Drosophila melanogaster: one gene and its partner. The gene in region 1 interacts genetically with each later gene. Each region holds a gene or a part of one and is shown on either strand. Other genes may lie near its edges.

Region 1 (7,835 bases):
ACAATTAGCCATTAGACGGGCCTTATGTGACGCACTTGGCAATCGCGGCAATTAGAGTTGTTACCAATCTCTCCGCGGGTCACTCAACACAAAATGTATCTCGAGCCTCGATTTTATCTGCCAGCGTGTGAACTGCCGGAAATTTCACTCTTGTGGATGGATGCATTTAATTCTTTCCGAACCTGATTTTTGACCAAGTTAATTGGGAGGGAATAAAAGGCGTACTTTGTACTTTGTCCGACTATAACTTGGCTTGGCTGAATTCAAAGACCCAAACAAGCAGTCGCTTCTAGAGTAAACAAATTTATGAATGACATAAAAAAGCGGATAAAAGCAGAAAATTATCTCGCTCTTGAAACTCCGAAATTAAACGTTAGTCCAATGATTTACTGCTTCACTTATAAGCGTGTTAATTGCCTAAATTTCCTTCACTGCTGAACTTGATTACTTGTTCTTTGGCGGCGGTCCACTCAATTGCCATAATATCAATCTCGCAGCCAGACTTCAAGTGTCAAGTGCAGTGTCTGGCTGCAATTAACCCTCTACTACCCCATGGTACCTCGCCTAAGGTCACATAAACCTTAAATTCAATTCCTATTTAATCGAGTGCAATTTAATATTTCCACAATTTTTGGTTCTAAGTACCAAGTATTTCAGCAAGGTCTCAGTGGGTTAATCTCCGTCAAAGAACCGAAATGCACGGCAGGCGTTGCAATCCACGGTCAACACGACAGGTTTCAGGTTTCCTTCTAAGCCCCTGAACAGCCAAATCGTTGGTTTTGACACAGATATAGCCATGTTATGGCCGTATTGGCCGGATCGGCGCTTGCATTTGGCATTTCGTTGGGCAAACACCACCAGATGACCTCGACTTTCAATCGCTGTGAGAATGTGTCTGGCATTCTTTGCGAATGTATCTTCAGACGATTCTCACACAGATCTTGATACGCACCTCGGAATCGAGAATTACACGCCGATAGGCATCGCGAGAAAAATCTACTAGCCGGCCATTACGAGTGAGATGCATTTTCCCCAACATTTATGCCTGCGAGCTTTACATCTGGGCAGGCTCACATCAATTAACCCGCAATTACAATAGAATTTAATCATGTGCCTGCCAGTTCACGTCGCACAGTTGGCCAAGTTGGCCAAAGGGGGGTTAAGCGATGGGGCTGGGCAAAAAGGGGCGTATTAATAACCGCGCTAAGTTCAAGAACATCGCTGATGGTTATTGTCATAGTTTCGTCGCGGCAATATGTAATTAAATCTGCGGATTGCAATCGATTATAAATACATTGTGAGGCATTTGCGGGTGGCGAAGGCTTTGTTTGTTGATTGAGTGAGTGATTTAATAAATTGTTCCGACTTTAGGAGCAATAATTTTCTTCTACGATAATTGAAGTTATAATTTGAAGGACAACGTATTCAAGTACTCCATGTACTTAACACCCTATAGAAAGGTGGCCCAAATCTAATAGTTTCATATCGGTTACTTAATTGTTTATTATACCATTTTAAGTTTAATGATTTGCTGACCCCATTTTATGATAGCTTCCTCGGAGGTTTTTATGGCTTTTTGAAAGGCAAAAACAGATCTCTGTTATTAACAGAGTGCGGTTCGAGTCCATGCTCCCCCCTGATTGCTAAGTATACACTGGGTTGGTTTTATGCTAAAAGCATTATCCAAGTCTTGCTCCATAAGTATCGTTAAATAAATTTAACAATAATTCAATCGCTGACTGGTCGCACTATTATATCGCTACGGTATATATTTGACGAAACAGACGGCGGCCACACTACAGACAAATAAAAAATTGAACCAATCGTTGCAATTGCACTTCAGTTTTCGTTCAGAAATAAATACGTAGCTGCAAATAGAGGACTATCTCCGCCGACATTTAAGAAGTACAGTTAAAACCGGGAAAATGGAGAGAGCAGGCCTCTTGGCCGTTTTGGCACTGTGCTGCGCCTTTGGTGAGTGGAGAAGAGATGGAGAGAAGTGCGAAAAGCGACGTTGAAAGGGAACCACAATAATAGTTTAGTCATAGCTTATTGCGTATTCGTGCTGTGCACTCTGTTCCTCAACCGTTGCTCTCTTTGTTTGTTTGCTTTCTTGCAGGCGTCTTCGCCGCTGCCACGCCCCTTTTGGGCTCCAGCAAGTGCACCTGGGGACCCTCCTACTGGTGCGGAAATTTCAGGTGAGTGCAAAAAAGTGGGTGATACAATAAACGGTATATTCGGATAAATCGCTTGGTCATCGAACACCACAAAGTTCTCGAAGGCGAAAAGCTAACCTCTCTTAACCCCCCTCCAAATAGCGATATTACTTCTCCGCCTCACTTGCCCATTGTTTGCAGCGAAGACTCGTCTGTTCTGTTTTGTTCTCGGCCGATAAGACTATCACTCGAATCGGGAATCGAATCACTTTGCTCTACATAGCTCTATTCGCCGATAACCCCTGTTATTGCAAACTTAACACTAGTGCCGCTCTAATTGCGTCCCCTTATTTTGCGTTGTATTGTTTTACAGACTCGATGTTTTCTCTGAGTGCACTTTTCGCAATACTCTCTGCCTTCATATCCCATATTTCTGGATTTCCTTTGTCTGCACATTCGCTGTACAAATCAAATTAACAGTACCGCCAGTCGGAACATTTAGACGGCAGAGTTAAGCGCTCGTAGGGGGCACAACTTTATCGACACCGATTATATGCATGAGTAATCCAGAGGAGCAGATCGTTTTGACACAGCTCCCTTTTCTGTGCACCGCCAAACAAACCACATGATTGCTTTGTTTATCATTGTTAATTCGCTGTAGGCGGCAACAGTTGTTCCTTATCAACGAATTCTGACTAATCCCTCAGGCGTATGATGAGTACAGGGGAACATCCGAAAGTGCAACTTCTAAGCCTTAACACAATCACAATGCACTTGAAACCCTTATCTTAGCCATACTCACAATTGTAAATTCCTCAATGGAGTGATATTACATTGCGGCCACAAAGGATCACCTTACAGAAGCTATACTGTACGTACATATGTATGTATGTTACACCAAGATAAACTTGAAAACATTTACATGGACTGCATCATTAATAGAGTAAAAGCGATCAATAGGCAACTGAAAACATTTGTTAAGCACCCATCCATCGCTTATCGCTAGTCGTAATTCCTTTGTTTATTGATTGATTTATTTTTAAATGGCCAGGAAAATCCGCCATTTCTGGCTCTTAACCGTTTCTTTGTTTCTCAATTGCAGAGTGTCAAAAATTAAAAACGTCGCCATTGCTGTTGAAAATTCAGAAAACAATATCTGTGAATGCGCAGCCAAGTGAATAATATATACGTGGATACGTCCAGATATATCATTCATACATATGTACTGTTTATTTCCGTGCTTATCAGTGCTGATTTTTTGCTATTTAGACGCTTTTGTTTGGTATTCCTGGCGATTCCACCGCAGGCGTCTCTTCATGTTAATGGAAATTAGCACTTTCCGTTCGAATCAGTCAAATCGATTTATATTGAACAAATATAGGGTTACTTTCCATCAAAGTGTTGTGCTTTAAATGCTATTTGCTTATATGAGATGATATGGGCTTTGATTTAGTCAGCATAAGTTTGATGATTATTAAACCATTTCGTTCCGTCTCGGATGTTCAAAAATCAAAATTATTACCAGTCCAATGCTTCGTTGTATTCATTGAAGACCCAACATTATCATGTGAGCTGTGGGTGCATTCTTAAAGTGGATAGGGGACTACTCCCTTTTTAGTGGACTCTGGTCTTTGCTGACTCGTCGATTCTGGCTTGGCCACTCGATTACGAATGCGGGTCATTTGATCCGAACAGCGGCATTTCGCACAATCAGCTTAGTATCCGACTGCTTACTCTGATGGGTTTATCTTAACAGCAAAAAAAAAGTTTGCTAACTTTATGTCTGCTTCCTTTCCAGCAACTCCAAGGAATGTCGTGCCACCCGCCACTGCATCCAAACCGTTTGGGAAACCCAAAAGGTGCCGGTGGACACGGACTCCATCTGCACGATATGCAAGGACATGGTTACTCAGGCCCGCGACCAGCTGAAGAGCAACCAGACAGAGGAGGAGCTGAAGGAGGTCTTCGAGGGCTCCTGCAAGCTGATTCCGATCAAGCCGATCCAGAAGGAGTGCATCAAGGTGGCCGATGACTTCCTGCCCGAGTTGGTCGAGGCCCTGGCCTCGCAGATGAATCCAGATGTGAGTTTTCACCTCTACAACACATCCTCCTAAACCTTTTATTGATATATAAAATGTTTCCCTTCAATCCTCAGCAAGTTTGCTCTGTGGCCGGACTTTGCAACAGTGCTCGCATCGACGAATTGTATAAGAACGGCATTCAGGCTGGTCTTGATGGAACCGTCCAGAATGAAGATGACAGCTCCGAGGAGACCGAGTTGGCCATGCAGCCTAACCAACTTTCCTGCGGCAACTGCAACCTGCTTTCCCGCCTGATGCACTCGAAATTTGCGGCTACCGATCGCGATGACATGGTGGAAACGATGCTTCATATGTGCGGATCGCTATCTAGTTTCTCAGACGCCTGTGCCAACATTGTGCTCACCTATTTTAATGATATCTACGACCATGTGAGCAAGCACTTGACCACGGATGCCGTGTGCCATGTGTCCGGAGTGTGTGCCTCCAGATATCACCAGCATGAAGAGGAAAAGCAACCGCAAGAAGCCTTAGTTGCCTTGGATGCCGGCGATGATATTCCATGCGAACTATGCGAGCAACTAGTAAAGCACCTTCGCGACGTCTTGGTGGCCAACACCACTGAAACGGAGTTCAAGCAAGTTATGGAAGGATTCTGCAAGCAGTCAAAGGGATTCAAGGACGAGTGCCTTAGCATTGTTGACCAATACTACCATGTGATTTACGAGACTCTGGTCAGCAAGTTAGATGCCAATGGAGCCTGCTGCATGATCGGCATTTGCCAGAAGAACTCCGCCTCCTCGATGAAGGATGTCCCAATCATGCCGCTGCTGCCTGTTATTGAGCCGGCTCAGGTAAAGATCACCATCGAGAAGCTGGAGAAGCACGAGAAGAAGCAACTGGGCGCCAGTGAGCCGAAGTTCAGCCAGCAAGAGATCCTGGACATGCAGCTGCCCATTGATCACCTAATGGGTGCAGCTAATCCCGGAGCTTTGGTCGAGGGTGGAGAGCTGTGCACCCTGTGTGAGTACATGCTGCATTTCATTCAGGAGACTCTGGCTACCCCCTCCACGGATGACGAGATCAAGCACACCGTGGAGAACATCTGCGCCAAACTGCCCTCGGGAGTTGCCGGTCAATGCCGCAACTTCGTGGAGATGTATGGCGATGCTGTGATAGCTCTGCTCGTCCAAGGACTGAATCCTCGTGACGTGTGCCCCCTCATGCAGATGTGCCCGAAGAATCTGCCCAAGAAGGAAGATGTCGAAGTGTTCAATCCCCAGCCAGCCAGCGATGAGCAGGATCCCCCAACTTGCCCTCTGTGCCTCTTTGCCGTTGAGCAGGCCCAGATGAAGATCCGCGACAACAAGTCCAAGGATAATATCAAAAAGGTTCTGAATGGCCTTTGCAGCCATCTGCCCAACGAGATAAAGGAAGAATGCGTAGACTTCGTGAACACCTATTCCAATGAGCTGATCGACATGCTGATCACAGATTTTAAGCCGCAGGAGATCTGCGTCCAACTGAAGCTCTGCCCAAAGACCACTTACGCTCTCTGGGACTTGCGCATCTCGCTGGAGGACGATGTCGATGGTGAGGACAAATCCAGCAGTGAGGAAATCAGCTTCAATGACATTGAGTCCCTTGAGGAGCTGCCCCCTCAGCTGGCCTTCGACCCAGGATTCACCGCTGCTCCGAACTGCCTGATCTGCGAGGAGTTGGTTAAGACCTTGGAGAAGCGTATGGGCAAGCACCCCACCAGAGACAGCATCAAGCATATCCTGGAGGAGTCTTGCGACCGAATGAGGAAGCCAATGAACACTAAATGCCACAAGGTTATCGACAAGTACGGCGATAAGATCGCCGATCTGCTGTTAAAGGAAATGGATCCCAAGCTTATCTGCACGGAGTTGGGAATGTGCATCCTGGCTGATCTGGATGATCGTGAGTATTAAATTCTAGAGCTACGTTAAGTATACGTTTAAACTAATGAATTTCATTTTCGTAATACAGTCGAAGTGGATGAGGCTTTGAAGTACGACGTGATTGCTCTGCCGCGCCAGGACAACAAGCTGTCTAGCAGCATCAAGGAGCCGCCCACCTGCGTCCTTTGCGAATTTATCATGACCAAGTTGGATGCCGATCTAAAGAATAAGACCGAACAGGACGACATTAAGCGAGCGATTGAAGCCGTGTGCAATCGCCTGCCAGCCACGGTGCGCAAACAGTGCGACACCTTCGTCGATGGATATGCCTCTGCGGTCCTGAAATTGCTGAGCGATGTGCCGCCCAAGCAGGTGTGCCAGAAACTGCAGCTCTGCTTCAGCGTGGCCGTCACCGATGAAGTTTTGGAGTGTGGTGTGTGCCATGGAGTCACCCAGGCTCTGTTGCCCTTCCTGCGCGAGAAGAAAGATAACGTATCCGAAGTGACAGCCCTACAGATGACATCGGTGGGATGCGAGAACTTGCCAGCCAAGTACTACAAGATCGTATGTAACTTACAATCCTGAATGTTATAAATATCTATAAGTTCCTTTGCGTTGCAGTGCTCTGAGATGATCTCCATCTATGGCAGTAGCATTAAGAACTTGGCCAAACGACCCTATATTGATCAGTCGCATATTTGCGCCGAGATTGGCAAGTGTTTCGAAAGCGAGAAGTCTTCGCTGGCCTTTGCTAGAATTTCAGGTAAGCTATAGGTTGAAGGACCCAAACAATACATTTACTAATTTACTATCTTCAACAGCCTAAGTGATGCGTTGTGATGTACGAACCAGGCGCGGAGGATTTGAAGGAGAAGGGACCCGATCCCACGCTTTATATATGCATATACCTTTACATATATCTGTTTACATTCTATAACGATTTACTGTAAATGAAACATAATTACTTACTTTTCGTTTTGTACCCCGGTTTTTGGCTCTAAATTTGTTAGGTGAATTTGTGATGAAACTGAATTTATAAACGCACTCAAACGCCGGCTGAAAAAAGTTAAACTTAACTAAACTAACACTTACACTAAGCAGTACCCTTATCGTAATTTCAACATAAAAATTAGCGAAATTCACGAGCCGCAAACTTTGTATCGATATCCCCATGTGTCCGAAGTCATTTGAGCAGTGTGTGTAGTTTAAGATATCAAGCAAAACTGTGTAAAATACGAACATTGATCTTATAAATCATACAGAAAACTTAAACCGACATAGTAGCACATTATTGAAAATTCCCAATTCCCCTTGGAATAGTATATATTTTCTAGCCGACATGTTTGAGAACTCCCTGTTTATCATTAAGCCGGACTATCTGCACAAGCGGCGTCCGGTGCTCTTAAAGTTGCTGGCCGAGGGCTTCCAGATTCAGGGTAATCGACGGATTGCCTTTTCGCCAGAAACTGCCGCCGAGTTCTATGCCGATTATGCCGATGAAAAGGGGTTTATGCTGGAGGTCATTCTGCTTTCGAAGGGTGTTTCCGAGGCGTTCATAGTTACGAAGGAAAACGCCGTGCAGGAGCTGCTCAACATCATGATTTGTTATTTGTGAGTTTGCTTTTAAAATAAAATAATAAGTTCTCTAGGTACAATTTGACTTTAAGTGGTTCGGCATCGGATCTGGAACGCAATATCCATGTCACCAAGAACAG
Region 2 (5,133 bases), 9.9 Mb from region 1:
TAAACATTTTTAATTTTTTGTTCTTTCGCCCTCCGCTGTAAATGTATTTGTAGATTTAAACAATGATTAAAATAAAAAACTACATAAATAAAACTTAAAAAACAAATCAAAATCTTTTATTTGCAAAAACATGTGGAAGTGGGGTTTAAAAAAAAAACGTAAAATGAGACTTAAGTTGATTGCAAATGCAAAGAAACGTAATTTGTAAAAAGTGCTTAGATTTGTGATCTGTCATTTTATTTCGTAAATGTCCTATGATTTCATGATTGCTATTATTCATTCATTGAATTGAGTTGTCGTGCCAAATAATCATACACATCCGAAATAAAAATCGCGACAGTTTTATGCCTACACACCAACTGGAAACGAGGCTATAAACATAAATATATTGCTCATACGCCCCGTGTTCACCCCTGCCGAATGAGTTGGGATCCGTAACGAAAACAAACAGAAAGCGGACGAAAAAAAATGGACGCCAAATACAAGGTAGCAAAAGGTTGTGAGCGCACACACTGGCACACATGTTCCTGTACTGTACTGTACTTACAGCAATGGCGTGCAGCGTTTGCTTCTCTTTCGCTACTTTTGCTGCTTTCGCTGCTGCTGTTTCCATTGCTGCGTTTATATGGCCATAAGGCTAACGCTATTGTCGCGGCAGGTCTCTCAGGGGCAACATGGGGAGGTCGTTGCGACAGCGGCAACATTTGGGTCTTATTAATTTCCGTTTTGCTTATTTATTTTTACGACGCCTCGCACAGCTCGCCATTCGGTTCGCAGTTCTGGGCCCGTCAGCAGCCGAACCGCCGAGCCATCCAGGTCCCCAAATTCTAACGCAGTCGCCATAGTCAAAAGAACATTCGTAAGGAATTCCACCTTTAAAGCCCCGGTGATACCCTACGATTATTTAGAGAGGCATATTACACAACCGTAGATGGGGAGTACTAAAATGTTAATTCATTGCTTAATTCGATTGCCTTAATTTGCTGCTTTAGCTTTGATTTAATACATGAATTATAATAATAGAAGAGAAGAAGATTACTTTAAATTAGGAAAACTGATTTATAATTAGAAAAAAAAAACTACAAAATATTATTATTTAACTTTTTAAGTGAAGTTTTTATGGCGCGGTATTAAAATATGTATAGGTATTAAAATAAAATGCATAAGTGACTTGAAAAAGTTCGTAGGCGTGATGCTGCATAGAGAGCCAAGTAAAAAGGCGCAATCAACTAAATCAAAATTATACAGGGGAAAGCCATTTATCCGGTAAAACACATACCAATTAAGTTATTTTTAAAAGCTGACTTCAATGCGATCAAAAGCTTTCTAGCCAATTTGAGTTGGAATTGGCGATGTACTTCTCAAATTTGGTTTTGAATATAAATAAATATATATATTTAAATAAAATGTATATGTTGAGATCAATACTGTACTTCAACGCGTGAATAATATCATATTTTAAGCTTAAGAAATTATAAAACAATACAATTTTCAGAAATAAAAGATTTGGCCACGTGAACCTTTATTGGGTGTTGAAAATTTATATTTTTTTGCACCCCGATCTGCTAGTAATCACTTTCCCTAACGGTGCTTATTGTTAATAGACTATTTTCCAAGCATAGAGTACAGCAACTTGTTTCCAACCGACTTAACAGGGGCGTCAAAAACTTATGCGCTTGCTTGTCTAAGACAGCGGGTGGTAGAGGAGGGGGTGTGGGTGTGGGCTATACTAACCAGCAATGCCTCTACACCACCCTCCCCGCCAAACCTTTACACCCCCTGCGAAATGCGCCACTGCAACGAGAGGAAGATGGGGAACATCGGAGAGCGACAGCGAGAGAGAGCGGCGCAGTTGTTATCGCCTGGCCAGTGTTCCACTGCCACTCTGTTCCTTATCCTGTGCACTTTCTTCCTTATCTGTCCCGCTTTCACCGCCCTCGCACTCGCCACTCTCACTCTTCGTGTGCATTTCGGGTGCCCTTCGTGTCGCGACAATCGGCATTTTTAAAGAGGCAGTCGGCCAATGTGGCAGTCGGTTACTGGCTCGCAGGTTAGTCTTTCATTATCCGGCGTTTGAGCGTGTAACGTTTTCTCCGTGATTTCCACACGCAGCAGCGGTAAATACAACAACAACGACAACGAAAGAAGCAACCAAAACAATAACAACAACAATAGAAGAGAACAGCGGCAAACGGTTTTTCGCTGCGCTTCTCCTATTTTAAGTGCCGAGCGTTTTACTATTTTTACTACACAGCGAAACATACACAGATACACATATATACAGAAATATATGTAGGTATTTGTTGATGTGTTTGTTGTGCTTCAGTCAACAATAAAAACAAAAACAGTGTTTAAAGCTAGTGAAATGATCTTCCATAAATAAATTTTCAAAATTAATTTGAGAGCAAAAATGAATTGAAAGAAAATGCCAAGAAAGTGCAGCAAAAAATCAACAACGATGCTGTCGGAGAGTCGAAACTAGGCTAAATATCTTTGCATACTTTTGGGAAAGTTGTGCGGTACAAACACACACACCCGTTCGTAACACACACACACAGGACCTGCGCCTGCGGTCGCCGACTTTTGAACCTGTTTTCTGACCATTGACCATTGACCACCGACCGCCGTGCCGGCCGCCTCTTTTCACTTTTGGCAACGCGGACTGCAGCAGCCGCTGCAAAAAATGCAACTGTAAAGGAAGCTGCAAGAAAAGGAAAGGATGTGCACGAAAACGGCATAAACCTACAAAACTAGCCAAAAGAGTTCAGAGCGGTGCGGTTCAACAGCCTCCGGGTGTTCGTGTCAAGCTCGAAATTCGCAAATTCGGCGTCAGCTTCGTGCATCTGTATCTGTGTATCTGTATCTATATCTGGTGCATCTGTGTGCGGCCATTCTGCAGTTGCAGCTCTGCAGCGGCGAAAATTGTGTCAGCAGCATCGGCAGCGGATCCTGCAGCTCGCCACACTGGCGCCTCCATCTCCGATTGCCGGTAATGTATTCGTTTTAGGCGCATTCTACCCAAGCACGACTTAATCATACGCCACATGTGAAGTGCCGTGCGGTATGGCTAAGGCATTACGCATACGCCCCGTGTATGTGAGTATGAATAGTGCGGGCGGTCTTACCTTGACAACGGACGGGGGCAGTCCGTGACAATTGTCAGTTTGTTTTCCCATTTTCGTTTTTCTATCGATTAAGCCCACTGGCCCCTCGTTCGCCCTTTGTCTGCGAATTAGCGACAACTTCTGGGCCAAGCAGCATATGGCTATGTCCACCGTCTTTGTCTAACGCCTAATTGAGTCTTTTGTGAGTATCAAGAGACGAGCAGCACCGCAGAAGAAAAGAAAAGCAAATGGGGAATCCAGTTGACATCGGCATAAGTTCGAGTTTTAAGTTCCCTTGTGGACAGCTGGTTTTTGGGCTTTCTCGACTATCACATACCATAACTGCAATGGACTTTTTTTGGATCATTTTTCAAATTCTGGGCGTTACATATTTTCTTGATCATGATCGACTCGGCTTGTGATCCGGAAATGTATTTACTGTAGAGGATATAACTAACTATAAATAAAGCTGTATGGCATCCTAGCTTTGATTCTTACACGCTGTAAGAAACGAATGTCAGTAAGGGATATAATGTTAACATTCCAAAAGGCACGTCTCCCATATGAACATATAAAGTATATTAAGACTCCCAAGAAAAAGTAAAGAACTTCGCCAGAAAACGTTAGGCTTATGATTTCAGATTTCAGAGCATTAAACCACAAATGATTATTTATATGAAGTATATTTTACTGTCCCGCTTAGATGAAATTTTTCGCTTATACTGTAGACAGTGCCTAAAGTATCATGCCATCTGATAGGGTATCCATAGAAAGGAACCAAAGAAAACAATCAACACGGAGACTAGTAAACAATTGAAAAGCAAAAAACCCGCGACTCCTGCCCAAGTCGGCCAGCCCCTTGAGTTCTTTTTTCATTCATAGGACGATGGGTGGTAGCATTTGCCTTTGTCAATATCATTCAAGCTTTCATTCGCTTCACTTGCCTGACATTTGCTTACCATTTCAGTTTAGAGTTCACTTTGTTTCCCTTTGTACAAATAAATAGCCATTTATTCATTCACTCGGTTAAGGGGCTCCTTTTCACTGACCAATGAATGAAGGAAGGTCGTCCCATAAGTATTTGTCAATTGGACACAAGTTACAATGGAACTCAGTTTGGGGCTTTATATCTAATCAAACTAAATGGCAGCCATTAACTAGCTAGCTTAATCAAGTACCCAACATCAGCATGACTCGAAGCACTCAAAATGCTCGATTTTCTGATTCTGATAAGAGGAATACCTCGGGTAATTTAAAATTGAGTATGCAGCATATTCAGCGAAATGCAGAAAATCCAGATGAAACAAGATTTTGGAAAATTCATTTAATTTATGGCTCCGTCAATTAAAAGCAACAGACCACACAGCCAAACCGCAGTACAGCTCTCAGATGAAAATTCAGCGCTTTAAAGGCTTAGAGAAAAGTGGCAGGCACTCAAAAGCTTAGGCCTTGCATACGTAGCAGCCGCAAACAGTGGCGAAAAATTCTACTTTTTTCCATTTTCGGTGTGTGGGGCGACCAACTTTTCTAACTAACAAAAAAATAAACCGCGCACATGTGTACACAAAAGAAACTCGACGAAGAAAACTGCAAATATGTAACAAGATTCGGTCATGTTTGATTCATGAAACCAGCAGAAAGTTCCAGCCCCTCACCCAATTGAACAACAATGGTGAAATAAAGTTACAGTTGCTGTGGCCACGGCAACTGGAAGCCAACATTTCGCACAATGGCGCAGAATCAGCAGCTTTAGCAGCTGCCGTGCTTCCGGAAAAAATAGAGCCCCAAAAAGCATACTTTCGAGTGTAGAGTTTATGCAGGATTCCGTTGCAGCAGAGTTAATCATACATACGTCCTGACAGTAACAAATCTCCAGCTACGAGGCATAAATAAAAAAAAATTCACCCAGCTTCGCTTTACATATTTTCCTGTTAGATTTACCGTGTATGTGGGCATCAAATTGCGCATACGCCCAGTAAGCCGTCCAGATGGGCAGATCTGCAGGCAATTTGATTATGGCCAGCGAGGC

What was found.
Region 2: of Sap-r (region 1) and Calx, changing one enhances a phenotype caused by changing the other (phenotypic enhancement), as found in Drosophila melanogaster (one study listed by BioGRID).

The regions. Positions count from the first base shown.
Region 1 is NT_033777.3:30,883,024-30,890,858, reverse strand, and holds Sap-r (Saposin-related), read left to right. Parts: upstream 1-1,796; 5' UTR 1,797-1,925; coding exon 1,926-1,974; intron 1,975-2,032; exon of another isoform or gene 2,033-2,119; coding exon 2,120-2,198; intron 2,199-3,954; coding exon 3,955-4,237; intron 4,238-4,311; coding exon 4,312-6,139; intron 6,140-6,208; coding exon 6,209-6,684; intron 6,685-6,741; coding exon 6,742-6,883; intron 6,884-6,941; coding exon 6,942-6,946; 3' UTR 6,947-7,395; downstream 7,396-7,835. Other genes in the region: CG15547 (uncharacterized protein), read left to right, coding at 7,460-7,731, 7,788-7,835.
Region 2 is NT_033777.3:20,976,132-20,981,264, forward strand, and holds the start of Calx (Na/Ca-exchange protein), read left to right. Parts: upstream 1-2,051; 5' UTR 2,052-2,989; intron 2,990-5,133. UniProt on the Drosophila melanogaster protein: Na(+)/Ca(2+) antiporter that couples the energy of a Na(+) electrochemical gradient to the movement of Ca(2+) against an electrochemical gradient across a membrane, which contributes to the regulation of cytoplasmic Ca(2+) levels.